Saccharomyces cerevisiae S288C: one gene and its partners. Changing the gene in region 1 together with any one later gene gives a genetic interaction. Each region holds a gene or a part of one and is shown on either strand. Other genes may lie near its edges.

The links.
Region 2: mutations in GPX1 (region 1) and YPL113C together harm fitness more than expected from each alone (negative genetic interaction), as found in Saccharomyces cerevisiae (one large-scale study listed by BioGRID).
Region 3: mutations in GPX1 (region 1) and ASI2 together harm fitness more than expected from each alone (negative genetic interaction), as found in Saccharomyces cerevisiae (one large-scale study listed by BioGRID).
Region 4: mutations in GPX1 (region 1) and ATP22 together harm fitness more than expected from each alone (negative genetic interaction), as found in Saccharomyces cerevisiae (one large-scale study listed by BioGRID).

The regions. Positions count from the first base shown.
Region 1 is NC_001143.9:388,880-394,069, reverse strand, and holds GPX1 (glutathione peroxidase GPX1), read left to right. Parts: upstream 1-4,186; coding exon 4,187-4,690; downstream 4,691-5,190. Other genes in the region: SKA1 (Ska1p), read right to left, coding at 1-349; MIN9 (Min9p), read left to right, coding at 697-924; URA6 (bifunctional uridylate/adenylate kinase), read left to right, coding at 930-1,544; PAN-complex poly(A)-binding subunit PAN3, read left to right, coding at 1,791-3,830; TCD2 (tRNA threonylcarbamoyladenosine dehydratase), read right to left, coding at 5,165-5,190. UniProt on the Saccharomyces cerevisiae protein: Glutathione peroxidase-like protein that protects cells from phospholipid hydroperoxides and nonphospholipid peroxides during oxidative stress. Has peroxidase activity using thioredoxin or glutathione as a reducing power. Involved in peroxisome formation.
Region 2 is NC_001148.4:332,612-341,316, forward strand, and holds YPL113C (glyoxylate reductase), read right to left. Parts: upstream 4,533-8,705; coding exon 3,342-4,532; downstream 1-3,341. Other genes in the region: GTPase-activating protein BEM3, read right to left, coding at 1-2,875; PEX25 (Pex25p), read right to left, coding at 4,825-6,009; CAR1 (arginase), read left to right, coding at 7,333-8,334; GDE1 (glycerophosphocholine phosphodiesterase), read right to left, coding at 8,457-8,705. UniProt on the Saccharomyces cerevisiae protein: Putative 2-hydroxyacid dehydrogenase.
Region 3 is NC_001146.8:334,287-342,640, forward strand, and holds ASI2 (Asi2p), read right to left. Parts: upstream 5,062-8,354; coding exon 4,192-5,061; downstream 1-4,191. Other genes in the region: serine/threonine protein kinase CBK1, read left to right, coding at 1-581; YGP1 (Ygp1p), read left to right, coding at 2,259-3,323; PGA1 (Pga1p), read left to right, coding at 5,326-5,922; IGO1 (phosphatase regulator), read left to right, coding at 6,066-6,572; NSG2 (Nsg2p), read right to left, coding at 6,783-7,682; YNL155C-A (uncharacterized protein), read right to left, coding at 7,625-7,849; CUZ1 (Cuz1p), read left to right, coding at 8,230-8,354.
Region 4 is NC_001136.10:1,173,232-1,182,981, forward strand, and holds ATP22 (Atp22p), read right to left. Parts: upstream 4,944-9,750; coding exon 2,889-4,943; downstream 1-2,888. Other genes in the region: YPS7 (putative aspartic endopeptidase), read right to left, coding at 1-945; SBE2 (Sbe2p), read left to right, coding at 5,435-8,029; YPQ2 (Ypq2p), read left to right, coding at 8,570-9,523. UniProt on the Saccharomyces cerevisiae protein: Translation factor specific for subunit 6 of the mitochondrial ATPase. Required for assembly of the CF(0) component of the ATPase.

The DNA of each region.
Region 1 (5,190 bases):
CCTCGAGCATTACAATATGTTTCTCCGTATTCACGTTTTCTTCCCTTGGTTTCGATCCGCCCTTTTTGGTTTTCCTCTTTGACTTACTCTTGAGATTACGGGGGTCGGCTCCTCCAATAATGCCTTCTAAGCCGTTTAACAGTTCTTCTATATCTTCTTGAGCAGCTTCTGTCTGCTTCTTCTTATTCAATGCGGCTATCGTACTTTGTGAAGAGCTTTCCTCATGGGCCGTACGTTCATCATTATCATTCTTTAACCAATTAGAGTAGGCCTGCTGATCCGTGACGCATCTTTTTTGGCTATCAATACTGTCATCTAGTAGAAAACCCAATAATTCTTCTTTATTCATGCTTGCACGTTATACCTGGCCGGGATTGGGGCGCTATTCTTGCATTGTATACAATATCCTCATATAATGAACTCTTAATTAATGCGTCATCATCCCAACTTAACACCCCTCATATACCCTAAGTTAGTACTCTCAGACCTATAGAAATAAATGTATCAATATCATGACACCTAACTGATTATATTTTCAACCCTAGGTTTATTTTTTTCACTTTTCTTTTTCTTTTCTTTTTCACCACGTTAACGAAACTTTTAAGTAGTTATGGTGATCTTTTAAAGCGATGCATTCCTGTCTTTGCCTTTAGTCGCACACACCCTCTCCCGTTTTTATGTTAGCTTAGTTATATTATGAATCCACGCTACAGGTTTATACTGAGATTTTATTCTTCGAAAAAACCAACTTTCCACAATACAGCACCTTCGAAGACCAACGTAAACGTACCACGCGCTAACAAAAGTCAAAGCAAGGGTAAACACAAAGGCAAATTGTTGGTACTCGTAGGAACTTTAGCACTCGTGACATCAGTTATTTCGGTAAACTATCAAAAGAACGAACCAGTTGAATTTCTTGAATAAGACAAATGACAGCTGCCACTACATCACAGCCAGCTTTCTCGCCTGACCAAGTTTCCGTGATCTTCGTTCTAGGAGGACCCGGTGCAGGCAAGGGTACTCAGTGTGAAAAACTAGTTAAGGACTATTCATTTGTCCATTTGTCAGCCGGAGACCTTCTACGTGCTGAGCAGGGCAGAGCAGGTTCCCAATATGGGGAATTGATCAAGAACTGCATCAAAGAGGGCCAGATTGTCCCTCAAGAGATTACTTTGGCGCTTTTACGCAACGCTATTTCCGATAACGTCAAGGCGAACAAGCATAAGTTCTTAATTGACGGATTTCCTAGGAAGATGGATCAAGCCATTTCCTTTGAAAGAGACATCGTTGAAAGCAAATTCATCCTGTTCTTTGACTGCCCTGAAGATATCATGTTAGAGAGACTATTGGAGCGTGGCAAGACCAGTGGTAGAAGCGATGACAACATTGAGTCCATTAAGAAGAGATTTAACACTTTCAAGGAGACTAGTATGCCCGTCATCGAGTACTTTGAAACCAAATCGAAAGTCGTCCGTGTTCGTTGCGACAGATCCGTCGAAGATGTGTACAAAGACGTCCAAGACGCTATCCGTGATAGCTTATAGACTAAGACGTATTTTATATAGTTTACGCTATAAGTTACGGCGATATTATATATATATGTAAGAATATATACATATATATTAAAATGATTATATGCCCTCCCCTACATATCAGACCTTTACAGGGTAACCTTAAAATAAACTGCTAAATTATTTGGTTTATGAATTAAAAGAGCAATAATAACAATGGCGGGAGCACTGTTTCGATGATAGGTAAGCCTAAAAGACTAGTCAGACGTATCTTACGCCATGGACAAAATCAATCCTGATTGGGCGAAGGATATTCCGTGCAGAAATATCACTATTTATGGCTACTGCAAAAAGGAGAAAGAAGGTTGCCCTTTCAAACACAGCGATAACACTACCGCTACTACCATAAATGACGTTCCTCCTCCAATAGATGTGGGTGAGGCTACAACTCCGACCATGACATCAGTTCCTAAGTTCAATGCTAAAGTATCCGCAAGTTTCACTCCGATGACAGTCGGTAGTGACTCCTTAACCACTGTGACGAATACCACCTCCGCTGCTACAAATGCTACTGGCAATATCGCCATGGCAGCTACCTCTGCTACTGCTTCTACAGTTAATCCGATGATTAATCCGATAGTTAATAGCTCGTTAGTGAATAACAATAACAATAATAGTAATATAAGCATATCAATACCAACTACCGCTTCGAGTTCCAATTACGACCCCTTCAATGCCCCCATTTTCACTCCGTCTTCAACCTCCTCAATTCACACTAATGCAAATGCACATTCTTTTCCATTTCCCTCCATTGCAAATTCTGGTGGCATAAATATAAACGCCACTGATGATAATAGTAACAATATGAGTATGGCTAATAATGTGCCACCTCCTATGCAACCGCCACCCATAGAGAGTAGTAATCTTAAGTACCCACGTATTTATCCGCCTCCTCACAGTCTTCTACAGTATCACCTATATGCACCTGAACAGCCATCATCATTGAAATCATTATTAAAGCCTAATGAAAGGTCTGCAGATCAGCTTTTCATTCCAAACAATATTAGAGAAGATTTAACCAAGAAAAACTTATCGATTTTGCAGGTTTTCCCCTCTTCAGGTAAAGTTATACCAAGTATTGTACAAGATTATTTTAATTTGGTTCCATTGAACTTCAATAATAACGATTTTTTAAATAAAACTACGCTCTTCAAAGTTTTTTCCAATTATGACGGTAAAGCCTACGTTTTGAAGAGGCTTCCTAACATCGATAAGTCAATGAATCCAAACAAAATATCCAAAATATATCAGATATGGTCAAAAATTAATTGTACAAATTTGATAAAGTTTAGGGACATTTTTCAAACTACTAAATTTGGTGATCTGTCTATTTGTTTGGTCTTTGACTACTACCCAAACTCGCTATCTTTGTATGATTACCACTTTGTTAATTTCCCTAAGTTTCCAATAACGAATAATTATTTATGGATATATTTAGTTCAACTCACCAATGTAATAAACTCTATCCATTCACAAAACTTGAGTATTGGCAATACATTAAACTGGAGAAAAGTTTTGATTACTGGGGACCCAGGGAGAATCAAGTTATCACACTGCAATTTTATGGACCTTTTGTTCAATGATGATACTGATACCGTAGTATCTTCCGGCGGAAGTACCATAGAGGGACAACAACAGCTAGACTACAAATATTTAGGAGAGCTATTATTTAACCTATCCATTAATATTGAAAACTCTAATAACAACACTGCCCCTAAAGAATATCGATTGGAGGAAATAACCCCTCAATCAATTGATGACATGAGACAGATCGATGATAAGTTCAAGGATGTACTCAAGTATCTGATATCAGACAACGGCGATTCCAAAAAGAGCATTCATGATCTTACTAGTCACTTTTATGATAAGATGTTCATGGTCCTGGAATCGTCACAAACCTATACAGAATACATGGAGTCTGTCTTATCAAGAGAACTAGAAAATGGCAGATTATTTAGGCTGGTCAACAAGCTAAATTGCATTTTTGGTAGAATCGAATCAAGAATAGACATAAATTGGTCCGAATCTGGGACTAAATTCCCCATTATACTATTTTATGACTACGTATTCCATCAAGTGGATTCGAATGGGAAACCAATAATGGATTTAACTCATGTCCTAAGATGTTTGAACAAATTAGACGCTGGTATTCAAGAAAAGTTAATGTTGGTAACGCCCGATGAGTTAAACTGTATTATTATATCCTATAAGGAGTTGAAGGACTTGATAGAATCCACCTTTCGATCCATCACCCAATAAAACAACACCAAATAATGTAGATACACACATATATATTAATTATACATTAGTATCCCCTTGACATACCCCACTACCGTCTTCATGTGGAAAATTTTCCGTATTTGCTTTCCCCTTCTGTTCCCTAATTCTATAGGGTAAGCGATTCATCCCTTGTTCGCCACATCTAAGAGAACTTAAAGCCGGGGCTCACCTCTACTACAGAGATTGCTTATGGTGAACAATATTAAGTGATTATATAACACAGTAATGTACAAATATATTTTAGTCATGTAGGTGATATTGTGCACGGCGAGGTTCTCTGATTGTGAACCCGTATAAGGAATATAAGCGGAGAAACACAATATTTATAAGTAACGATGCAAGAATTTTATTCTTTTTCACCAATAGATGAAAACGGAAATCCATTCCCCTTCAACTCCCTGCGTAACAAAGTGGTTTTGATAGTCAATGTAGCATCTCATTGTGCGTTCACACCTCAATACAAGGAATTAGAGTACTTGTACGAAAAATACAAATCACATGGTCTAGTGATTGTGGCCTTTCCCTGTGGTCAATTCGGAAATCAAGAGTTCGAGAAGGATAAAGAGATTAATAAGTTCTGTCAAGATAAATATGGTGTAACCTTCCCTATTCTACATAAGATCCGTTGCAACGGGCAAAAGCAAGATCCCGTCTACAAGTTCTTAAAGAATTCAGTAAGCGGGAAGTCTGGAATAAAAATGATAAAATGGAATTTTGAAAAGTTTGTGGTAGACCGAAATGGGAAGGTGGTTAAAAGGTTTTCATGCATGACTAGGCCACTAGAGCTTTGTCCAATAATCGAAGAATTACTGAATCAACCACCAGAAGAACAGATTTAATTTGCGGTCAACGAAGTTGAAAACGGAAAAGTGGTGATAAGAATGAAAATAAAAGACATATAATTGAATAGTCTCTGTCACCCTTGCTATCGTATCAACAGTTGCTCTTCTATCTTGTTTTGCGTATGTATTTTTTCTAAGAAGAATATGTAGGTTTTAGTCATTTTTTGTTGATTAAGGGAATGAAAATTGTCCTAAAGAACCCTTTCAGTGGTTCAGCTTTGAGAAGTTTCAATATTGATTTCCGTCGCATGCCTCATCGTTAATTTTTCTCTAGTTTTTATTTATTTCAGAAATTCAAGTTTTTTACTTTCAAGAAATTAAATAATGTAATTTTACAAATAAACATAAACAAGTAGAAGTAAATGAAGAAGCATAAAAATAGTTTTCTATATGGTATGAGTCCGAAAAGCCTCCTGGAATAGTACGTAACTCTATGGAAGAAAATGCTTTATATGTTGGAAAGGAACAAGATCATCTGAATTGAGAGTAATAAGCTT
Region 2 (8,705 bases), on another chromosome or scaffold:
TGATAACTGTACTGGACCCGCTTAGTCTAAATATGCCTTCTTCCTGGATACCACGGTTTTTGTAAAGATACTCTAAGCAACGATAAACTACACTCGGTAAATCGTAAACGTTTTGGTACTTATGCGAACTCAATCTTAAACACGTTTCTAGTGACGAGCCAAATATTGCAGTGGACACATGTGGACCCGTAGAAGAATTTGACGAAGAGGATACTTCCATTAATTTTTTGCTTGGTGACTTAATGATAGAGTCAGGAGATGTTGGAGAATCCGAATCATTTGAAATTGTAATACCTATATGGTTCATTGCACTCGCCGGGCCGGTTAATTTTTTAAAAGGGAATAAACTTCTCATTTTGGCTCTCCTACTATCCTTCTCCTCCTCTGCATTCCCGCTTGAACTTGCTAGGAAGTTAGAGTGAGAAGATGGGTTTGAGTCAATACCATCGCTATTAGCAATGTTATTGCTACTATTACTAATATTGTTATTATTATTATATTCTTGGGTCAAATCAGTGACATATGATGGAGTATCGGTTGCTGAGATAGTTGCGTTTCCAAATTTAGAATGGTGTGTTCCTGCGCTCAAGTGAGATGCAGAATCAGTATCGTTTGCATTCCTCGAGCTAGATAACGATAAACTTTGTGAAGGATCAATGTAATCACTAAACGCAGAAAGCCATAATTCACGTTCCTTCGACGTTTCAGTACAAATATAATACTTTGTTGAGGTTGACAGTCCGCTTTTCTTATGCTCAGTGATCAAAAACCCATTTCTCGTTCCAAATCTATCTTCAGGGAGATTGGGTATAAGTTCTATAGAAGATTGTCTCAATTTAATAGTTTCAGTCAACTGATTTTTGTCAAACAATTGTAAAACATCATCGCGCAAAATACCGTACCGAACTCTCCATGTACTATTACCTGTTAGAGTCTTTGGTCTTCTCAGCAAAAGTGATCCGTCTTTCACATTATCATCCATCATTGGAGGTGTCATTACTGTATCTGTACTAATAAATTGGGCGATTTTTAAACCAACATTTTTGGGAAATTCAGGGACACTGAATATGCTTGTATAATACTGATTCAATATGTTCTTTCGCGTATCCACTTTTGTAGGTGATAAAGTCTGAAATAATTGTCTATCAGGTAACGTGGGCAATGGTAAATCGGGAACATGTGATTTCATATATACATCTAATTCGCGAACTTTATGAATAGATTTTGAAAATTTAAACATCTCCTTACCGGATTTCCTGTCTATGATTGCAATTAAAATGGATAAATCATCTTCATTATCCCTGTACAATGTGCTCAGTACTTCAATCTGGATAGTGCCAAAATCCTCCGGTTGAACGAATAATGGAATATCCGACTTAAGACTTTGGGCCACAGACTTCACGGTGCTCACGCTACTTGCATGAGGTCTTCTAAGTGTCTTCAACGAACCTTGGGGTGTTGAGCTAAATGTATTCAAGGTATTGGTTGAATGGATGGATGCCGTTTCTCCAAGTTGTTTTTGTTTTGATGAACTTTCCACGGGAGGATTTGGAGGAAGAGAAGCATTTTGACTTGTTGTTGACAATTTTGTAGAAAGATTGGGGAGTGATGAAGTTAACACAGGTTTCTTTAAATTTTTTGCACTTTGAGCACCAAAATTATCATCCTTTTTATTCAAGATAACCGGAGAAGCCAAATGGCTTGATAAAGGAGTAGAGTTTTTTATATTTCCACTAGAAGTAGGTGAGAAAAAAGTTGGAGGCGCTGGAGGTGGGGGTAAAGATTCGTTAATCGTGGATTTTATGGACAGAGGATCTTTACTGTCCGTATTGACTAGATCCTCTTCGCCAAATGAGGAGTCAAGTAATTGGGTGAAGTCGTCAAGTTTTTCTTTAGATGCTGGAGAGAAACCCAAAGCCTTGTTTTCACCCTCCTTGACTTCCAAAAGGGATGATGGACTTTTGGCTGCTGAAGTAGGAGTTCCAGTAGTGTATGCAGAGGATGTTATAGAAGAATAAACGCGGTCATTTTTTTGTATCGCGTCATTAGTTAGTTGTTGACTTTTACTTTCAGTCAGCTCATCTAAATTATTAGAGGTACTGGCCTTTAATGGAGAATGCAAATGGTTGTTGATAACAGCCGTCATTCTGTTAGGATTTTGAGGGGAACGCAAACGTTCTTGCAATGGAGATTTCGAACCTTTATTAGGTGATTTTATGGTTATCCTAGACGTCGTATAGGTAACAGAGGCAGCTGGGCTAGCCAACTGTTCTGAATGTATTTTTGTAGGGCTTGAGACAGATCTATTGATAATTTTGGGAGATGAGAAGCTACTATTTGCTTCTATTTCATCGTTTAGTATCATGTTCTGTAAATGCTTCCTACTTATTGAAGTATTTGATGTAACACCTATTTGAGGTACTGTAGGCGTTACACTTGTTTCAAGTGCAACGTCTGAACCTTGTTGCAATGGAGGGGACAATGTCGGTATTGGCAAATTAAGACTCTTGATATGCGCTTTCCTTTCAGCAGATCTTGGGGGTAACACAAATGATTGATCGTTAACGTATGAATCTCTTGAGTCATTTTGAACTTGCTCAAGCACAACTTCTAAGGAAGCTTCTCTGTTTTTTTGTAACATATCAATAACCTTTTCCAAACTCTCAATTTCAGTTTCATATTCTTGGACTTGTAGCTTTAGCTTAATGTTTTCCGTAAAAATTTCATCATAGGACGGATTTCTTTCTTTTCCTGAACATGTTCCTTTTTCTATATGTTCTATAGATTTGTCCTTTTTGGATCTATGATCATTGTACTGCGCCAACAATTCAAGGGTGGTACTACCACCATGAGTTGTGGTCAAATTATCTGTCATTGCGTGCTGTTAGTTGAGTGTGAGTTTATTCTAGAATATACACACAGATACTCCTAGCAGCCAGTGTTTCAACAAACGTGATGTTGTATATGCCTGATGTAATCACGAACTCGAACAAAAGGCAAAATGGTAGAAGGCAAGGACAAAGAAGAAAAGAGAAAAAACTTCCAGATACAAAGCTAACACACAAAGGTAAACGGTGATTAAAATGGATATATCGTTGATGTATTTAACAATCTTGAAAAATTCCGTTTAAAAAACATACCAATACGCGCAATAAAAACGGTTCTTATCTGGTACTTTACCTAGTCAGACGATTATTGTTCTTTATAAAACGGCCGCGTTTTTTTTCCAACATCACCGCCGCCATATAACTTTCGACATTCTTAGAGTTGTGGTATAAAGAGCAATGCATATACGTATGTAATCCTAATTGAAATGCTATCTTTGTAACATAATGAATGGTTCAGTTGAGCACATACTTACCATCACCTCCCTCGACAAATATGTCCTGCACATTCTCGAGTGTGATGAGTGTCTGCTTTATGACCATGTCGGCAACTGTGCTGCCGATATGTGGCAAAGCTGTAACATCCCATCTGCGAAGTAACTCTTGCTTAACGCGTGTTTCCTCATTTTTAAACACATCGAGACCACAGCTTGCCACTTTTCCAGATTCAAGAGCGTCTAGTAGCACATCTTCATCTATGCATGTGCCTCTCCCAACGTTAACTATCCTGACACCATCTTTACACCAGGCCAAACTTTTACGATTGATAATATTGTTTGTAGAGGCCGTACTGGGCAAGGCCAAAATGATCAAATCCGCATTCTTCCAAGTATTTGGATCATCTAGATCAGAATGGTACTTAGCGTTGTAATCAAGTAGACTCTTTTGGACGGGACCGGTCCTTTTGTAGTATTCAATGCTCATGTTGAACACTTTGTGCAAGTTAGACCCTATATTTTGTCCGATGGAGCCAAACCCCAATATTAGAACTTTTTTATTCATTGGAGATTCCATTTTTTTCCCGCCAACCGTGTACTTTTCTGCTAAATGTACCACTTTCCTATCCTTGTTAGGCTTGCATTTGTCTGTTCGAGAGGGAAATTTCATTTCCTGACCGTGGTAACTATCTGTAACAATTTCATACGAGTCACTAGAGATATATTTCTTACACTGTTCAACATTACCATTTTCCACGTATTTAAAACAATATTCCCAAAATGAAGTCATTCTAAAGCAGCTAATTGCTAGGAAAATAGCCAATTCTGTGACATGGTCAGCAGCATGTGGTCCAATGTTGCATAAAGTGATACCTTTCGATCTTAATAACTTACCGTCAATAAAGTCACAGCCGACCCATGGTACAAGGATTACTTTTAAAGATGCGGGGAAGAATTCAATATAACTCGAAGGGTTTCCTAACACAGTGAAAAACTCCTCAGTGAGCCAAAAGCCGTTTATTCTATGAGTTTCCAAAAATTTAACAAAATCATCCTTTGTGGACATCTCATATTTATAGAATTCTACCCTTTCTGCCAGTTTGCGATATTCAGGAAGATGACTGGCGACTTCCCATTGGGTTTTATAAGGCACCAAAATTCTTGGTTTGGCAGAATAAGTTACATCTGCTATGTCAATTGAAGTAATCATTGTTATTTAAAGGTTGCTACTTTTGTACACTCAAGTATTTTTCTGTATTTGAGAGAGAGCTATTTGTACTCCACACTCCACCTTTTAGATCTGCGTCAAAGTGTCAGAATAAACATACCGTAAAACGGAATGACTACCGCCACCCCAATGACATAAAAACGGAAGAAAAAGAGCAAAAACCGAGCGCCAAACTATCTTATTCAACGAATCAAATAACAATACAAATGCAGAGGTAAAACATTATTCGCCACATATATATGTACATATCTATATGTATACATATTTTTATATATCAATCTTTTGAAGAGCAAAGTGACCTCTTTGTTGTTATCCAAAGTTTAACCAGTCCAGTTAAGCCGGATCCCAGGGACAGAACGGCATACGTTCCCTTTGGAGTTTTTAAATTTAGAATATCTGATGTATTAGCCATGCAATCAAACGATAATCTTGCAATATCTAAATAAACAAGTGTCTTTTCATCCTTGATGGCCTTTAGTTGTTTGTGTATTAACACCTCTGCGTCGTTATTAACATTTAGGTCATTTAACAACTGTTTCCTAATTGGCGATTGTGAGCCATCGTCTTTATGGGCCTGATGCATCAGTATGGGTGAGAGTAGTAACGCGTTATTTTGAACTTTTAGTTGCACTTCCAATTCTAATTGTCTCTTCTGTAAGCTTTGCAGGTTGAGCCAATGGTCCTTCAAGCTTAAAAGAATGTCGTATTGCCATGCAAGAGACTCTTGTCTACTGACAAAGGAATAGAATGATTTATTTGTCCATATTTTCAATTTGTATAGCAAGTCTAATTCATCAAAGATACCATAATACAAGTCCAAAAATTCTCTCAATGAAGCTTCATTAAACCATATTTTCTTAATTTGGTCAATTTGAAAGTTGCACTTTCTGGTTTTATTGAATTTCCCCAAGAAACTGCACACTCGGAATGGTGTGCCGCCAAACCTTAAAATATATCTAAAAGTACTTAATTGTTGACTGATAAAATCAATTTTCTTGTCAAAATTTCTCAAAAGAGACAGGAGAAGTACTTTAATTACCGTGATTGGATGCCTTAGTGCGACTTTTACAGTCAGATTTTTCAAAATCTTGGTATAGTACGTTAATACGGAAGGGTCCAAAACAGTTAAATTTCGCTTAGACTTTTCGATAAACAGTTTTAATATATCCAGAGCGTATTTGATAATTTTGGCTAATTTGTCTCTACCAGATAGAGAATCCAATATATATTTTAAGATGGTAATATTATCCACCATCTTTGTTTTTGCTTGAGAATCCTCATCATCACTTCTCGAGGATTCAGTATGCGACTCGCTTCCACTGCCTGCACTGAACTTCTCTGCACCGGCGTCTGATGAATGTGGATGGGTATTGTCATCCTGGGCGTCCTGGTAACTTGCCCCAGAATAAGGTGGTGTTTCTGAACCGGAAACGATATCTGTCGTGCCAAACTGACTCATTGTTTTACGACCAGTTTCTATAGGTGAAGACTTACAGGGAAGTTGAGGATATCGACTCTATTTGTTACTTTCTCCAGCATACAAATTACCGATGATTCTGAGAAGAAAGAAGAAAAACGTATTTCAAAAATTATATAACCTGAAATAATAAGCCCAATCCCACCGGAATTTCATATACTATCACCGACCTGGAAAAAAAATGAAGAGTAAAAAGAAAAAAATAAATTTAGCGCCGCTCGGTTTCGATCCGAGGACATCAGGGTTATGAGCCCTGCGCGCTTCCACTGCGCCACGGCGCTGCTAAATCATGTGAGTTTAGCGCGTACCGAGCAAATTCACCAAAATATTTACATCCAATTTGCTCCCCTCACTCTTCCCCGATGTCGGTTGTGATTACTGCTACGCATGGCGACTCTTAATTTCTTTCAGGTATAGTAACATTTACTCCTTTAAGTAATTGTCTATTTTTCCTCGACACTGTATGTAGTTACCTTTCAAGGAAGCTATTCCAATACCATCGTGAGAAAAACTCTATTGGATACTTCATCTAGCTCGTATATATGCTTTTTAAACTTTATACCAAACCGTGTAGGCAAAACTGGACCGCCCGGTAAGTTCTGCTATTAACAAATTAAATAAAATTGGCCAAACTGAGGATTGACAGTTCTGAATATCCAAGATTACTGACTTCAATTTTCTCACTTCTCATCATAATATTCCGCTGATTTTTACATACCGTATATCCAATTTACGGCCCTTCACATATAGCGGCGAAATGATGGTAAAGCTACGCATACTGTCTGACAGGACCCTATTCTAGCAACCTTACATGAAACAAAAACAAACAACATCACATCATACGGATGAACTACGGGTGCAATCCCTGACTCATCAATGTTTATCATAAACTTAGATATCAACACTGATAAACCCCACCTCTATTTTTACTGGTTCTTCACTTTTTCGATGCCGCACCGTCGCCCGCGATCCCCGCCCTTTGATTGCTCCTTCCATTAACAGTTTTTTTCTATCCCTTACAAGAAGCCGAGACGCCGCGAAAATATCGGCTAGTGCGAATAGTCTCTAGCTCTTGCCCTTCGCAAAGCACCGTGCTGCTAATGGCAATCAACAGCGCATCGCCGCTCGCTGAATTTTTCACTTAGCGGTAGCCGCCGAGGGGTCTAAAGAGTATATAAGCAGAGCTTGCGGCCCACTTTCTATCAAGATCTAAGACTGTTTCTCTTCTCTTGGTCTGTATATGTTTTCTCAAAGTTAGCAGAAACAACAACAACAACTATATCAATAACAATAACTACTATCAAGATGGAAACAGGACCTCATTACAACTACTACAAAAATCGCGAATTGTCCATCGTTCTGGCTCCATTCAGCGGCGGTCAGGGTAAGCTTGGTGTCGAGAAGGGCCCTAAATACATGCTTAAGCATGGTCTGCAAACAAGCATAGAGGATTTGGGCTGGTCTACGGAATTAGAGCCCTCAATGGACGAGGCCCAATTTGTGGGAAAGTTGAAAATGGAGAAGGACTCCACAACTGGGGGTTCCTCTGTTATGATAGACGGTGTCAAGGCTAAAAGAGCAGATTTGGTTGGTGAAGCCACCAAGTTGGTGTACAACTCCGTGTCGAAAGTGGTCCAGGCGAACAGATTCCCCTTGACCTTGGGTGGTGATCATTCAATAGCCATTGGTACTGTATCCGCGGTTTTGGACAAATACCCCGATGCTGGTCTTTTATGGATAGACGCCCACGCTGATATAAACACCATAGAAAGCACCCCCTCTGGAAACTTGCACGGCTGTCCCGTGTCATTCCTAATGGGTTTGAACAAGGATGTCCCACATTGTCCCGAGTCGCTCAAATGGGTTCCAGGCAACTTGAGCCCAAAAAAGATCGCGTATATTGGGTTGAGAGATGTTGATGCCGGAGAAAAGAAAATCTTGAAAGATCTGGGTATCGCCGCCTTTTCCATGTACCACGTTGACAAATACGGCATCAACGCTGTCATTGAAATGGCAATGAAAGCCGTGCACCCAGAAACAAACGGTGAAGGTCCCATTATGTGCTCCTATGACGTCGATGGTGTAGACCCATTATACATTCCTGCTACAGGTACTCCAGTGAGAGGTGGGTTGACCTTGAGAGAAGGTCTTTTCTTGGTGGAAAGATTGGCCGAATCCGGTAATTTAATTGCGCTAGACGTTGTTGAATGTAACCCTGATCTGGCTATTCATGATATCCATGTTTCAAACACCATCTCTGCAGGTTGCGCCATTGCAAGGTGTGCATTGGGTGAAACCTTATTGTAGTTTATATCATCATCCCTTTTATCAAAATAAGCATTCTCTTTTTATTTTAGTTAAGCACATGCATACATAAATTTACGAACAAAAAAAGAAAATAAATTAAAAATAAAAGTAGTGTATCTTCGTTACTTTTCATTCTTTTTGGTTAACCCACGTCTAATTGCCAATACACTATCGACGATCACGGCATCTACACCTGCTTCAATTTGTATACTGGCATTTTCGGGATCATTGTTGTCCACACCGTAAGTGACACATACCAGCCCATTAGACTTAACCACTTGCACCAACCGTGGGGCCTTTAAAATGGGTGCTGCAGCAGATACAATCCCCAATAAATTCCACTTCTTAGCAAATCTTATACCGTTTTGTAA
Region 3 (8,354 bases), on another chromosome or scaffold:
GTCGTTTAATGGCATATTCTACCGTAGGTACACCAGATTATATTGCTCCTGAGATATTTTTATACCAAGGTTATGGGCAAGAGTGTGATTGGTGGTCACTTGGAGCAATTATGTACGAGTGTCTGATTGGTTGGCCTCCATTCTGTTCCGAAACTCCACAGGAAACGTACAGAAAAATCATGAATTTTGAGCAAACTCTACAATTTCCTGATGATATTCATATCTCTTATGAAGCCGAAGATCTAATCCGTCGACTATTAACTCATGCAGACCAAAGACTTGGTAGACATGGTGGTGCAGATGAAATAAAAAGTCATCCATTTTTTCGCGGTGTTGATTGGAATACAATCAGACAAGTAGAAGCACCGTATATACCAAAGTTGAGCTCCATCACCGATACTAGGTTCTTCCCAACCGATGAGTTGGAGAATGTTCCAGATTCCCCAGCTATGGCACAAGCTGCCAAACAAAGGGAACAGATGACAAAGCAAGGTGGAAGTGCGCCAGTCAAGGAAGATTTACCTTTTATTGGCTACACTTACTCCAGATTTGACTATTTGACAAGAAAAAATGCGTTGTAGGGACGCGTTAAGGACATTCCTCTTTATTCAAGTATTTATCTATGGATGTAGAACGCACATTATGAATAAATAACTGCACTTTTTTCGGGAAAAAAATTACCAAAATAGACATCAGCTTTATCATATGTCTCCTTGAAGTATTTGAACGACCACCTTTCCGAAGACAATGTACCTAGTAACCTACAGGCTGCCCTTAATCCATACATCCACGCACAATAGCACAATCTCGGTGATGGCTGGTTTTTTTACCTTGAAAAACAAGAAAAATGGCTGATGTAGTTGAAAAAGGTAAAAGAGATGGCAGATCAGGGGACGATTTTGTAGAGGAAGTATCTATATATATCGACCATATTGAAAAAAATATGAAATAACATACACACGTGTAAGAATATATAATTTTTGTTATTAACACGTCGTAAAAGAGAAAAGATCGTGCTTTCATCACGCGCTTCCTCTCGGCCTTTCGAACTATAAATTATAAGATGATCCAGTCTTACAATACTGAATGAAACTCAGGGAAGACGATAGCGGAGGTTCGACAACCGATCACTGTAAAACCTACACTTTCAAGTTCATTAATCGTCGCTTGAAAGATCGTCATAACCAAATATTGCTAGAAACAAAAGCGTTCGGGATAGGTCAAACCATGATGAACTAGTTCCACACGCATATCTTAAAGCGTGCTATTTTTTAAAAAGGGCAAATTTAGGAATGTCTGACGGAATCCCTAATCATCTTTGGCTTTTCCCTTCACTCCCTTCTTTTACCGACGATGGTTTGAAGGAAAGAGAAAAATGAGCAATAGGAAAATTCAGTAGTCGATTTCCATTTCAATTCCCTATTGGGTAATGTGGCGGCGAGGGCTAAACATTCGGTATCATTGATTCAATGTTCTCACAATGTTCAAATTCTCGGATCGGGTATCCCTAATTGGGATCTCTTTCCAGAGGAAGGGGCCTTGATGTGGGATTGAAGACACATGAGTTTTTTTCTCACCGTCGAAACTTTTGCTTACCCGTAAAACATCGGCCATTCGTTGGTTTATTATGTGACTTTTTTGTGACTTTTTTTTTTGCGAAGTTTTCTCGTCATCCGCGGAAGATCCGGCGGGCGAAAAAGTCTCTCACTTTTACCCAATCGGGGCATGTTATGTGGACATGTTATGTGTCCAAGAGACACATGAGCCCAAAAAGGGTACACTGTCTAAATAGTTTACCCTTTACGAATCGAAACTTCTCGAAGAAGGGGCCGAAAATTAGCGCAGAAGTTGACGAAAGTTTATACTTTTCCTAATGGAGAGGCTCAGGAGCTGAAAAGGGATATATTCGTACTCTATTGCATCTTCAAACTCCGAAGAATCTCAGTAGGGAGTGAAGCCGGCTTCTCGATGCTACAGTTCAACATCGATACTTTGAAGAAAGAAAGCGCCTATTATATCTCTTTTACCCTATTAGTAATAATTAGGAAAAAGGGAGAAAAAAGTACCTCACTAAAAAAACCATCATCTCTGAAATATAAAAAGCTTGATAGAGGGTGACATTTGCTAGAACTTCTGCTGTGTTCTCTTGGGTTATTGCTCTTATTGAATATCCCTTCTATTTCTTTCTTGCTTGTAAAAAATCAGCTCAAAAAACATCTACAGGATTAATCGTCAGTTAAGTAATACAGTAATAGAAAATGAAGTTCCAAGTTGTTTTATCTGCCCTTTTGGCATGTTCATCTGCCGTCGTCGCAAGCCCAATCGAAAACCTATTCAAATACAGGGCTGTTAAGGCATCTCACAGTAAGAATATCAACTCCACTTTGCCGGCCTGGAATGGGTCTAACTCTAGCAATGTTACCTACGCTAATGGAACAAACAGTACTACCAATACTACTACTGCCGAAAGCAGTCAATTACAAATCATTGTAACAGGTGGTCAAGTACCAATCACCAACAGTTCTTTGACCCACACAAACTACACCAGATTATTCAACAGTTCTTCTGCTTTGAACATTACCGAATTGTACAATGTTGCCCGTGTTGTTAACGAAACGATCCAAGATAAGTCATCCGCCGGTGCCGTTGTTGTTGCCAACGCCAAATCTTTGGAAGCTGTCTCATTCTTCTTCTCTATCATTTTTGACACCGAAAAGCCTATTGTTGTCACTGAAGATTCCGCTTATGCCATTCCAGTCGCTAACAATAAGAACGCTACCAAACGTGGTGTCTTGTCCGTCACTTCTGACAAATTAGTGTACTCCGGTGTCTTCACTCCACCTACTGCTTGTTCTTACGGTGCTGGTTTGCCTGTTGCTATCGTTGATGACCAAGACGAAGTTAAATGGTTCTTCGATGCTTCTAAGCCAACTTTAATCTCTTCTGACTCGATTATCAGAAAGGAATACAGTAACTTCACTACTCCTTATGGTCTATTAGAAAACGGTGTTCCAATTGTTCCAATTGTCTATGACGGTGGTTACTCTTCCAGTTTGATTGACTCCTTGAGTTCTGCCGTTCAAGGTTTGGTTGTTGTTTCTTCTGGTTCTACCAACTCAACCTCATCTACTATTGAAAGCACTGAAATCCCAGTCGTATATGCTCAAGCTAACACTCCATTAAACTTTATTGACAACAAAGATGTTCCAAAGAACGCTGTGGGTGCTGGTTACCTATCCCCAATTAAGGCCCAAATCTTGTTGTCCATTGCTGCCGTTAATGGTGTCACCTCCAAGTCCGCTCTGGAAAGCATTTTCCCATGAACTGATAGATATTAAATCTAGCGAAGCATAGAGATTCTTTTTTTACCAGTCATCATAACCATTATTTTACAAAATTTCCACGCAACAGCTTTTATTTTCGTTCGTAATAGGAACCATACTTCCCATTAAAGCAGTATGATTGTTTTATACACCTTTTTATTGTTATTTAAGACATACCCCAAATAATTAATTAATTAATTGATGAAAGAATCATATAAATTCTTGGCCATACATATTTTTTTATTATCTTTTGCTACATTGACCATAGGTGAATATCTTCCCGGGGTGACACTCCACTGAAGTGGGAAAAAAAGAAAAGTTTTAAAACATTGCTCACCTTAAGTCTCGAAGGTCTAGCATTCACTACCTGTAAGTGTCAAGACCCCACATGTATACATGGATACAATAAAGAAACAATGTCCGTATAATTTGTATACATTTTACTACAGATAAGGGATCTCACCCCCTTCTTTTGTGTCTAAGTGAAATCTTCTGATATATTTAGTGTTTTATAGCGTCCATGTTTTAAACTAGAACGGCAAAATAGTAGTTGTTGTAAACGCTTATTTTCGAGACATCAGGTAAAAAGGATAGTTAAATCTTACAATCAATGCATGTAGTGAGTGGCGTTTATCAATAGTTTTTAACAATTCCCATTTTGAAAGAAGCCCACAACAACCCTAGTAGTTCGTTAATATACGTTATGATGGTCAAGTGTCACAGTACGGAAAGCTTGCAAACAGCTCTTACATAGAGGAGTTGCTTCAAAATAAACGTCCTCTGGTGTCAAGTGTCTCATACAGCGACCACATGCGAAAGAAACTACTACAGATAAGCAAATACACAAATTATAATCGTGGATTCATCATCAGAATACGCCTGGCCCTGTAATCCTTTGGCTCACCAACATTCGATGGACACCTTTATATCTTCTAATAACAGTGAATAATAGACACAATACGAAGAAAAACCCAGCGGTAACCATGTAAACGGTACCACTTACGCCATAAGCTAAATAGATCAGAATGGTAGAGACTTTGACAAATAGCTCGAAAGCTTTAGCGAACATTAGTCTTATCCAATTTAAGTTGGGTTCATTGCCATCTCTACTTTTCATAATATGTTTTATCACAGGTGAAGAGTAAAATACAATGATGTTATGAAACTTTCCAAGCAACCCTAATTTACCAGTATCCTTATATGCTATTAATGTCGTGCCACCAGAACCAAATATCTTGGCAAATTTCCAGTATCCCACGATTTCGATTATAAAATCATTCTCTGAAAAGGTCATTGAATTGAACCCGCTCCTTAATATGTTGTATACGGAAAATGGGAATAAAATTAGCCCAATAAAGTAATCTAAAATGAATAAATTTCTAAGAAAAGTTCTGAGAGGGCTCTGCTGCCTTGCTGTGAATGGGGAATCGGCCGTATTGGCGTTGGTGGCTCTTATAGTGTCTGCATTGATTCCTCCATTTCCGTTTGTGGTTGCATCCATATTAGCTGCTCTATTTATATTTGAAGTAGAACTCATATTCCTCCTAAGGGAGTTAAATATTCCATCGATTGCTTGCTGTACATCCTGCTGTAGTTCTTGCTGAGATTGCTCGGTTACAGGTGAAGGCTCTCTACTATGCCTCGTTTCCGATTCTTCTAGAAATCGCTGAAACAGATAATCATCATTATCGTCTCTTTCTGTCCAATTACTGCGGCGATGATTTTGAGGCCTCGCCATTTTTTCTCACTAAATGCTTGTGAGGATGTATGCGTTTGATTCGGTGTCTCTTTAATCATATTCCCGAATCGACCCTATTTGAAGGTAGAGGGAGTTGTTTCCTCTCACTATTGTTATAAAAGATCATCAATGACGGAAACTAATATGCAATGAAAAAATGAGAAGTTTACATGAATATGAAGATTAACTGCACAGCAATGTTGTTGACCCTTGGTATTCGCACACACTAAGCCAACATAGGTTCGTTCAATTTTTAAAAAGAAGATGGTCCGGCCTCAGAATGTTCACTGGTTTATCGCTACAATTGTATTTTTCATCGGATTTGTACACGCTAATACAGAATCAATCTTATATAAGGTTCCTCACAACTTTCCCCTCAAAAAACCAAGAGACAGCTCTACTTATGCAAGAGATGTAAACTTGATATCTTCCATATCACTATCGGGAGAAGCAATGAGTCAGATCACTATCGAGGCCAATACCACTGACTTGGAGTTGCATAATACTACGTATATTGAACTGGCGGACTTACAGCGAGACGAAACATATCAGATTAAAGTGTGTTGGTCAGCAATACATCCAATTTCCATTAATAATCTCCAAACTATCACAATACCACGTTTCACTGAATTTCAGGGAACTAAGTCAGACTACGCGAGAATACTAGTGACTTTCCAGGTCTTGTCTGACTCGTATCCTAGTGAGCATGCCATGGTTCCAATACAAGTCTCATTAATCACCACTCGGCTAGGTATCCCCGTGGATATTTACCCAACATTAATCGTTATGGTGCTATTAGTAGCAGGGCTTGTTGTTACCCGGGCACCACACGTATTGAACGATCTTTTGCTGAAATTTTAGTATGGAAGCCTGAGCCCCCTTTGGCTGGATAGCTTGGCCTCATCACAACTAGAACGTAAAAAAGTCCATTAACCATCAAATGCTTCTCATTAAAGTGGGTATTTTTATCGAAAGAAAGGGACCTGAATATCTAACTCGCCGCTATGTCGAATGAAAACTTATCTCCCAATAGTAGTAACCCAGATTTAACTAAACTGAATAACGGCGAAAGCGGAACTATTGATACCAGCAAATTCTCGCCCAACGAAATGAAGCTATACAAAATGTACGGAAAGCTGCCATCAAAGAAAGATATTTTTAAGCATACCATGCAGAAAAGAAAATATTTCGACAGTGGTGATTACGCTTTGCAGAAAGCTGGCATTCAAAACAATGATCCAATAAACTATGGAAAGAATAACCTGCCATTAACAAATCCCAGCAAACTACGAGAAGATATAATAAAAAGAAGGATAAGCACTTGTCCGTCAACTGCCTCAACCGCTGGTGTAGTAGATAATGCGACGTTGATACAAAAGGAGGGAAGTATATCGAGTGGACCACCATCGTCTAATAACGGTACTATTGGAGGTGGTAGTACAAGTTCAACGCCAGTGGGGAACCACAGCTCTTCGTCGTCCAGTTTGTATACTGAATCACCCATTAGATAAATAGACAACCTGTACTTTTTTATATTTTTTTAGGGAAAGAGAAGGGTCTCTTATATTTAACGCTTATTATGTGATTTCTCGAAATGTCAAGTGTTACAGCCATATGGCTGACTGTGTTTACGTTAATTAGTTATATATAAACGATAAGCCATTCTGATGTTATCTTCTTGTACTTCTAATTAATAATATTTACTCGTCAGAATTTCGACTTTAATGAGAATATAGATATCTTCCTAGTTTTCCAAACATTAGAGAACCAAGGAAATAAAAATCCATGAAATATAAAAATTGGGAACCGTCGATAATATCTTTGTAGCAAGAGATACAACAACCCACCCCAATGCAGATGCAGCTCATTAACATGGATATTGAGCCGTCAAAAAACAACCACAGTATAATATTCAGAAGCCCCCATGCCCCTGCCGCCTGCAAAGAGGAGTTCCACTGTATTTTCCTGATCCCAAATGTGACTCCCAACATGGCATTGATACTTCTAATAACAGAGGTCAAACTGTCATGGTGGACAGAGCTCTTAACAACCTCTGTTTGAAAAATATTATCCAGAATTGGTACAACAGAACCAAATAACAGTCCTTCAACACCGTAGCCTAACCAGTTTGGCAGAACCCCATTGGATAGCCAGTTACAAAGTTTGACACCCAGTAGAAGGGGTCTCGATGCAAAATCTGGATGTAAGAGATGATTATCGTGCAAGTTTCTGGACAGTTCATGATATGCGAAACCGCTCAATGACAAAATTAATACAGCTTGCAGGTAATGAAGAATATTTTGACGAGTTTGTCTGGTTCTTGACGGAAAGTTTTCGTGAATGGATGATGCTGATAAAATCCTTTCCAAATTATTAGAAGATACTGTGTTCCTTGGCAGCGAGCCGCCAACCTTATGGGCCAAGTAAAAAGTCGAATCAATAGTTTGATCTCTACTATATTTGGTAGAATCTATAGAGACAGAGCGTTTCAATTCTTCGTAAATTTCGTTATCTTCCGATCTCACGACGTCATCATCATATAATGAATAAAGCTGCGGTTTAGTCAGAGAGCAGATTGATTCGGTGCTCTTCTTTGGATCCGGTTCTCCTCTATTGGCCATTCTGTATGCTGTTTTCTTTGAGAAATACTTTGTCGTTTATCTTCGTCCTTGTCTTCTTTTTGGTCCTTTGTGTTTGAGTGCTTTCCAAACTTTTTCTTTACCTTTTGCACGCCAACTACTATGCCCTTTATTGCAAATAAAATAGGTACTACAATAAGCCCTATCATCAATGTTGAGCTGTCAACTAGAAGTTTAAGGAAAAGAACATCTCGAAGTTTAGTAATTTCCTTGCTTTCATATTTTAAATGTCTAGCTAATTTCGTATCTACCCTTTATCTCATGCCGATAAAAAGAAAAGTTCCCCCCTCGTGGCCAGCGACGTTCGTATATACATAAAACTGCCTCACCCTCCTTTCGGTGGCAAAAGCATGTTCTACAAATGAGTATAAAGATGTAATAAGAGCTTGTACAAGCAAGGACTCGAGCTAGGGCGGAAGTGTGACAACAGTGAGCTATAGGCACATTGTAGTGTACATCTACTGCAAGAGCTTGCATTAATTTTGATATAAAAAAAAGGACCATCAACTAATTTTTGCTATATTTAAGAATGTCGGCGGCTATCGAAAAAGAAACCGGAATGTTGGATGTAGGAAAGCACTGTGCATATTGTAGACAACTAGACTTCCTACCTTTCCATTGTTCGTTTTGCAATGAAGATTTCTGCTCGAACCA
Region 4 (9,750 bases), on another chromosome or scaffold:
CAGAAAGTCCTTCGAAGTCATATTCAAACTTTGTCCGCTGTTAGACACAATATAAATAGGGCCTAATGGCACAATTGGGTACCCAACACTAACAGCATTACTCACTGGGTCAACGTAAGGAATTAAGTCAAATTTTCCCAGTGTACCGGTAAACAGCGAAGGATCCACCCCTCCAAGAAGTAGCTTCCCACAATTAGATATTGGATCTCTATATGTTTTGTACGTGGAAGTGTCTCCAGCCAACCACAGTGAATATGACGAACTTTCAATGATATCTGCATCTTTCAATAAGGATAGAAAATAAGACTGTTCTGTGTATTGTGAGCTATCGATAGCATTGCCTGGGTTTGTGACCTTCCCGCTTAAACCTAACAAGCCTGAAGTCTTAAAGTTCGAGGACTGAATATCAAAGAAGGAAACGTTTGAAATGGATAGGCTCCCCGAGTTAAATTGTACGTTATCTCGAGTTACCATTAAATCGGTTATCAAAGCGGTCGAGGAATTTTCTGAGGAAACATTTGTAAAATTCATATCGTCTGTCACCAAAGTACAGTTAACAGCTCTACCATCAATGAAAGAAATCTCATATATTTGGCCAGGAGAAACAGGAACAGATGATGTAGAGTCATTCATGAGGTAGCTGGGATGCTTATGATATACACCGGAGTATTCGTTATGACTTTCGCTTGTTCCGGAAACCAGATTTATGTACGGTTGGATAATATCCACTAGCAAACGTTGGCGTTGACCGGGAGTGCCAAATGTGCTATTAACATAGTAGTTTCCTCTACCATCTTTACCCACGGCTAGTACAGGAAACGGCTCCTCCGTTGACGAAGAGGTTCCAGACTTTGCTGTAGTTGTTGTATTTGCAGTACTAGCCGTTGCAAACTCTAACTGAAAAGTTGATATGAGCCACAGATACCATAAAATTAGGCATGTCATAGCAAAAATCAACGGCAAATAAAGCAAGCACGCAGTTACGATACGTTCAAAGATCTTTCCAAGTTCTGTATCCTTCTAGAACGATTAGTCTAATGCAACTGATATGTCCAACATTCTAAATATAACTTATTTTGGTATTAGCTGCATCATTCTACCATGATGAGCTGCGGCGTTCAATATCTCATTTTTTTTTGTTCGGGGTAACGAGGTTCATTGTTGCAAATAGCACGACCAAACGAGCGGTATGATACAAAGCACTGCAAGTCATAGCTGAGGTAAAAAAAAAAAGAATGAAGATCTCATTGTTTGGGTTAAATTACTTTCAAGAGCCTCTTTTTTAGGCTCGGTTGGTTAAAAGAGCAAGAACCGAAACACTAGTGCATCAATTTTTATAACAATTTTGTAATTATGTTGATAATTGGCAGTAAAGTTACAAAATACACACTAATTAAAATATTGAACACTTACAATATAAAGCTGATATCAAAATAAATATCGAACAATAAATACAACTCTCTCCAATATCAATATACTGCCGTCGTTATTTAAAAAATTAGCCCACCTGGGAACATTATAGAAAGAGATTTGTTTTTTGGTCTGGCAATGTGTCATAATCAAGCTCTTTGCAATATACATCCCCAACTCATATATTTGTATACAGGAAGAAGAATCGACCACCATCTATCGACTAGCATATTATCATATACGGTGTAAAAAGATGACATAAAAGATGAGAAACAGGGTAATCCCAACAATTGTCTCAATATTTACCTATTTCTCACATTGTCACCGCTCGAAAGTGCATTTTATATACGTTCTTTTGTGACGACTACTTTTGGCGGGAATCTTAGCGCCTTAAATGCAGTGAAAGATTACTCTTTTGAGTTATTGCCTGAATTTTGTCTGCAAAATTGTTATTATTCAGGAATTTAGAATAATTCAACTCTGGAGGCCTGCGCTGTACTACGGGCTCAAGTAATACCGGAGTGTCTCGACAATCCTAATATAAACAGTCTTAGGGAAGTAACCAGTTGTCAAAACGGTTTATCAGATTAATTCACGGAATGTTACTTATCCTATATATTATATAAAATATGGATCATACTAAATGGTGGAAGCGCGGAACCTTGGATCTAAACTGTTGGAATAAGAATCCACTATCGTCTATCAACTAATAGTTGTACTATCAATATATTATCATATACGGTGTTAAGATGATGACATAAGTTATGAGAAGCTGTCATCGAAGTTAGAGGAAGCTGAAGTGCAAGGATTGATAATGTAATAGGATAATGAAACATATAAAACGGAATGAGGAATAATCGTAATATTAGTATGTAGAAATATAGATTCCATTTAGAGGATTCCAATATCATCGAGGAGAACTTCTAGTATATTCTGTACACCTAATATTATAGCCTTTATCAACAATGGAATCCCAACAAGTCTCTCAAAATACACCCATTTCTCATAAACCAATTGTTCAGGCATTTATACGTTTAGATAGCCCAGCTATAGAAGGCGGAGTTTTACCTCATGTTGCTCAATCTGTTCGTTTTCTTAGGTTTCATATGTGTTCTATGAACGTTCAGGATAATGTATTGTCATGCTGACGTATCCCATTCTGAGATGTAACGTCTGTACAAAACAAAGCTTCAGTAGCTCAGTAGGAAGAGCGTCAGTCTCATAATCTGAAGGTCGAGAGTTCGAACCTCCCCTGGAGCATTTTTGCCGAGCACGGTACTTTTTTTTATTCTCAGTAAATGAAATCCAAGGGCTCATTTATTTGAGAAAGTAAATAAGGTATTAGAGGTAATAAAGTAACCATGGGCCAAGAAGACATATTCATAAACTTATGAAAAAACTTTGTAGGTATTAATAACTTATGGGTAAATTACTATCTATGAATGAATATTTACTATTTACTAGTGCTCATCTGGATATTAATTTAGACTTTTCAACGTCTCTCTTATAATATTTGTACATTTATTAACATCATCATCATTAAATCTAGGCTTGCCATCTTCTTCGAACATATCTTCGTCAGTAAACAGGGTGCTATCAGTAGGTTCTTTAATGTTATTATTTTCCACCAATTCCGTCAGTAAAGTTTCGTCAAAGTTTTTGGGAAACGGCCAGCCTTGGTCTTTTATTATCTGTATCAAAGCCATATGCCTGATTTCAAAGCCCCCGAAGAGTATCTTATTGTACCAGGAGCGTGCTCCTTTTTCGTCTCTCATTTTGACATAATGCATTACCATTGCAGAACAAAATTTAAACGTTAAAGGCACCCCATTTTTATGCATCACCTGTAGCAATTCTGATAGTTCAGCCTGCGTTAATGTATGATTTTTATAGGCTACTATGGAAAAGGGACATAGCGTGGTAGTTAAAACCACTTTTTTGGCGAAAGGTTGAGAATAAAAATCCAGAAGAACATTGTAGGCCAGCCTTGGTTCACGAGCTTGGAATCTAATATAATTTAGGAAAACATTGAGGATTCCGGTATCATTTCTCCAATACCTGTATTTATGAGCTTCCTCGGAAAGAAAACTCTTGTACTTGTAATATAAATCAAGAAGACAATTCTTGAATTGACCACTTTCCAGTGAAACAGAACTCGAAGATAAAAGGCTTCTATACAGTTCAGTTAAAATTGGAACAGTCACTGGTGATCCTATTCGCATTGTGTTCGGTAGAATATTATTTTTGTTCTTCAGCTCTCTTGCTAACGTAGGAGCTGTCAAAGTCGTTGATTTTGAATGATAGAGCCACCCCCAAATCCCTAGGGCATTCAGAATATTAGCAGACGCCTTTGAGCTGTATGATGAGAGGAGATATTTACACACCAATTTCGGGTCACGAAAGGCTTGAAAAGATGCAATTAATTCACCCATTAAAAACTCCTTGAACAATTTATATTTCATCAGTGGGCTGCTTTGTAAGCAGGAAATTACATTGAAAAGCTCCTCCTGCCTATTAGATATTCGGAGCAGATTCAAGTAGTGGTGAATGGGAAAATTCAATATGTGTTCGTTTCCATCAATGTGATTAAGCAATCCTGAGCTTACAATGAATTTCAGTTCCTCTTGAAAGGTTTTGATGAATAACTCAACATTTCCACTTTTCAAAAGGTAATAAAGTAAGGTATTGTTGAACTTGACATAACGCAGGTTCTTTTGCTTTGCTCCATCTTTACCAGAATAACAGTGCTGTTCCAACTTCTGTAGTAGAGCTTGAATAAATACTTTAATGAACCTAAAATTTTTCGCCTTAACAAGGCCATTTACTAGAGCGATTAAGCTGTCAAATGTATGCAACTTCAGAACTTTTTCCATTATAAATTTTATGTTTGTCTCATCATGCAAAAATATTTGGAACGTGGCTAACTGCCTCTCCATCTCAGTTCCTTTTATCAGCCTATTGGTAAATCTCGTACAGTAGTTAGAAGTAAAGAGAAGAACATCACTTTTCAAAAGAAAAAGATAGTGATTAAAAGATTCTGATTTTGGAATATGATACCAGAACCATCTGTGGACCTCACCTGGTAGATAAAATCCAATTTTTCTTGCCACCTCTGGGTATAACTCGTGTTGATGCAAAATGATATCATATAAAAGTTTCTTCTTTTCATTTTCTGAGCAATTATTTATATGCAGGGCATTTCGTAGAGATTCAAAAAAAGAGGCGTATTCAGTTACTCCAAAAGTCTCACTTAATACAGTTTTCAATTGTCGGAGCTCGTATAAACGCTTCTGAACATTTTTCGAAGATCCGCTCTTCCTAGAACATGGCACCTGTCGTTCAAAATCGCCAAACTGCAAAGGTTCTGAACGATTTGATTTAATTTTCAATGGACAGTTTTTCGTAGATAAATGGCGCAGATTTGTAATAGGTAGAATTGTGTATGTCCCTGCGCTACCCATATGTTTAAACAGCGGTGAAGTGACCATTTGAGCCAAAGGCTGGGAATAGACACGGCATATACATTTTAACATGCCAATAAGAACATTAAAGTGAACGCTTGGAAGATTTGAAAGCCCATTCTTGCCAGTACGCCAATAAAGTGTGTCGCGCAGAATAGATCTTCATGTAATTCCTTTTTCCCTTTTATGCAATCTATAATGTTAATCAGCGTAGATCACTATATACGCTTTTTTTTTTTTTTTTCAGCTCCGATTAGAGAGCAAAAGAGATGTAACATCGATCCTGCTATAATTAGAATACAAGTGTTGATCTTTAATTGTACTGTTTCTGCGAAAGCTATCGAGCATTTGGCTGTATTCCACTGTCCATTGTATTTTTAACTCTCCTTTTTATCATTCTGAAACATAGAGCTGTTTTGACAAAATTCAGTTTTTTCTCAATTAGTGCTTTCATTCATACGTTCGTTACAAGCTTTGAATTTTAACTTTATTTTCGGGCTTCCACCTTTGCTTCATTATTTTACTTCAGCTCTTTAGCTTTCTGTGACATTCAATTTTATTGTATGACAGCACGTCGTTTGATTAATATAGTTCCTAATACGTCTAAGCTAGACCCTTTAAAGGAGGAGGACTCAACGCATCTGAAACAAAATCAACCTAAGAAGTTTTCCACAAAGGAGTTGATGCTTTCAGAATATACCGAACGCAAAAGTTGCAGCCTTCCGTTGTCTAAATCCCGATCAGGCAGTAGTGCATCCAGTAGCACTACAGGTTCGAACGGAAAGAATATTGGAACAAGACGCCCTAGCTCCAACCTAGATTTCAATTTCGCTAGCCAAGATGTTGTTAAAAATGTATTAGGTAATAATAATCCACACGTACCCACAGCGAAGTGCATTAGGCCAATATCAGATGATTCTATAGGTACATCGAGCACAGAGATATTTTCTTCATCGCACTCAAATACGACATCTGATTCTTTATGTACATCAGATATAAGCTCAGAAGAGGGTGAAATAGCAAACAGTAAGATGGAGGATAACTGCTTCTTCAAAAGTATGAGAGAAGCTGACCATAGAAGCAATATTACGCCCTTAAAGAAAAGCCGACCGGGATCAATACTACAGAAAACACGTACAGCAAGTAGCGCTGATAAAACAATCTGCTCAATGAGTACCATAACTACATGCATTCCATCTCGTCAAAATTCGGTGTCAACTCCTAAACTCTCCAGGACAGTAGGGCTGCCTGGATCGAGCAATACAACCAACAGTATAGCCGCATCACAAACTTCATTCATAAGCGAGAATGACTCTCCTCTTAAACATCATTGCATGAGTACCGCAACTATCCAAGAACCAAAACTCATGCCGATCACAAAAACGCCGTATGTGCATTCCAATAGTACTTCTGTAATATTACCATATAAAACAACCCAACTTACTCCTTCTCAACGTTACCGTTTAAGGAAAGAGCAAAATGACCAATCTTTGCGTAAAGCCATAAAAATGAAAGAAAAATTTTATGAAGATCAAGACGTTAACTTGGAACTTCAAGAGGGCGATGTCGACGGCTCGTTAATTTGGAACATTCCAATGGCATCTTTATCGACCAGTTCTTTTTTAACATTATCTAAGTTTAATAGAAAAGAAATGAGTTTAGATTCAGCGCGGGGGGATGAAGAGATATTAATACAGGAGAACAATTGCGAAGGCAAACAACACTCATCTTCGGCTCTCTGTGTGGACAAAACTTTCCATCAGGTTCATAGTACTAGAAAACATACATCAAATTCAAGTAACACTTTAAAAGAATCATGTCTGGACTATAAGGAGCTTCCGCCAACATGCATTCCTGGTATATCTCCTGTGTCTGATTCACAGTACATCCAGGATACAATGAAAAATCTCTCCCAAATATACCTGCATAGTTCCGAAAAAATCTCCAAAAGTATTCTTTCTGGTCGTTCAAGATCTGTACAGAGTTTACCACTGGAATTTAAAGAAGCCAGTAGTCAGGGAATGGAAGACCTAATGCTAGTTTCAGAGGACAAACTAAAGGCCGTAAGTCATTTCCGTCCGAGTTGGCTCCCGCCCAAGGATTTCAAAGAGAGGAAATTGCAAGATAAACAAATCTACAAAAATATCGACTTAGCATCAATGGAAGAGTTGCAAAAAAATAAAGAACGTGACGAAAAAGCCAAAAAGAATGAGCAGAATAAGGTCAAATTCCAGCATTTACTGGACCGAGGCATTACTCGTAACTCGTCATTAAGTGAATTAAAGAAAATTATTTGGGAAACACCTTTGATATCTAAAGTACGGCTTCAAATATATAGTCAACTTCTACAAAGTGACAATTGCTTGATAACAAAATGTTTTATTGAATCATTTGAGGAAGTAATGCAGCTACTCAACAAAATGGATTTTCCCAAAGATAAAGAATTTGAAATAAGACAGCTTATTGAACACGATGTACAGGAAAAGGTTTTTTATAAAAATGGAACAGATAAGCAAGTGGTTTCTGACTTGATGCTATTACTGCAACTGAAATCTATATCTCAACAAGGTTTGGTTACTGGTGATGAGATGCTATTCTACCATTTTTTAACTGATCAATCTTTTGGGACTTTGAAGGAAACATGGGAAATGGTCAACTTGATACAGATGACGTGCTTCAGTGAAATTTGCAAGGAAAAATACGATTCAAGAATATTAAATCCCAGAGGAATTGTTGCCCATCTTTTACGAAAAGATGAGTTCAAAAATGAATTCAATGGCGGATGTTTGAATAGCAATACATGGTGGAACATATTGCAAAGAATGGACCATAAACTTTTTATGTGGGTAATGGATGTAATTATCGTTCATAATGGCCAAAACTTTGCAAACTACCCCGTAAAAATGGAAATATTCAAAGACAAAGTATGGGAATACTATAGATCTAAGAAGGTTATTGTAAATTATAAGATTTTGGTTTCACTAACAGTTAACGTATTGTTAAACTACCACTTCGGATATGATAATCTGAAACATTTATCAGATTTGGATGATAAGCATTTTTGTATTCCACTGTATACGGAGGATAGTATCGAAGAGGAAAACCTCAATAATATTTTCACAAAGTGGTGGTTGCACTACTACCGAAAATTACGTTAGCGTGTATGTGGCACGTACTAAAAGTTTGGTGACCAGACTATCTCTTCTTAAGTTCATTTTCACTCTGAAACTTATAAATGCATACATACAGAAATTACTTTCGATTAATATAATAATATATTTTTAATAAACAATGAACTAATGCCCTTATTGTGTTTTGTTATTAACCTTTTCATCACCATTTTTTTTTGCTAGCTTCTACGGCATTCACTTACGTGCTGCAAAATTTCGCAGCATGGAAGAAATTGTTCGCGAAGAAAAAAGATTTCGCTCAGTGATTTGTAGTGACAATAGGTACCAGTGTTATCACTAAGTATATCTTTTAGTATATCTCTTCGCTTGAGGAGGGATCAAAAAAAAACAAACGTAAACGTGCACATAAACGTCAAGTACTTTTTGCAGGCATTAATATTCGTCTCCAACAAAGACAAATAAAGAAGCAATCTTTTCATTACCTTAAGCCAGTATCTATTGATATCAATCGATAAGGTTCGTTGTTATCGGTGCTAAAAATTATAAAGTGAAAATAAGAATCTTTTCATGTCGTGCTCAAACGGCATCTGGCCTACTGTATCTAATTTGTGCGGATCATTATCCTTCTTCACCTCTGTTATTTCATTGTTTCCACAAATAATTGAGACTTATCGAGATAAATCTGTCGATGGGCTATCGCCATATTTTTTGCTGGCTTGGTTATGTGGGGATATTACCTCGCTGATAGGGGCAAAGCTAACAGGGCAATTGTTATTTCAGATACTTTTAGCAATTTATTTTCTATTGAATGATTCTTTTGTATGTGGTCAATATTATTACTATGGCGTGCTGCATGAAAATAAATTGGCGACTGTCGGCCATGAGCCTAAACCTCTTCTTCCCGAACTGGTTGAAAATGGTGAGCTTTTGAGGGAGGAAGAGGACATGATACAAGGTGGTAGCAGTGCAGAAAGCCCTAGAAGCAGTAGAAGAAGGTCTGCCATTACAGCAGCCTTGGCTATAGCTCATACTATAAGTACAGCTAGCGCATATCCGCTAAATGTAGGCTCCACCCAATCACAAGTGGGGCCTCCCGGAGATGGTAAAAACAGCCAGCTGGGTACAATTTTATCTTGGATTGGCGCTTCCTTCTACGTAGGCGCACGTATCCCACAACTAATCAAGAATTACAATAGAAAGTCTACAGACGGCTTATCTCCCTTCCTATTTGCTACTACACTACTCTGCAATATCACGTATAATTTGAGCATCTTCACAAGCTGTAGATTTTTAGATAATCAGAACAAGAGGGAATTCATCGTGAATGAGTTGCCCTTTATATTTGGAAGTGCTGGAACAATTGCGTTTGATTTGATATACTTCTACCAATACTATATCCTTTATGCAACTGATATGCAACTACGTGAACTGGAAAGAGAACTATACAGTCCTGAAGAAGACAGTGCAGCGCAACTAGTGACAGAACGTACATCACTGTTGTCTGGTGAAACGCAAACATAGTTTTCCCTACGGAGTACTACCATTTATATTTAAACAATGCACTCTGCTCTTGGGATAGTCCTTGCGAGACCCTTTTTTCCCAATAGGAATACTACGTTCGTACTCTGTGTAAAAGTACCCAACTATAGTTAGCGCCAGTTTTACGTAAAACCGTCTATGTCTTGTTTGCATTCGCAACAGCTACAAACACATATAGTTTGTCACACTAATATTAATAATGAAAGTTA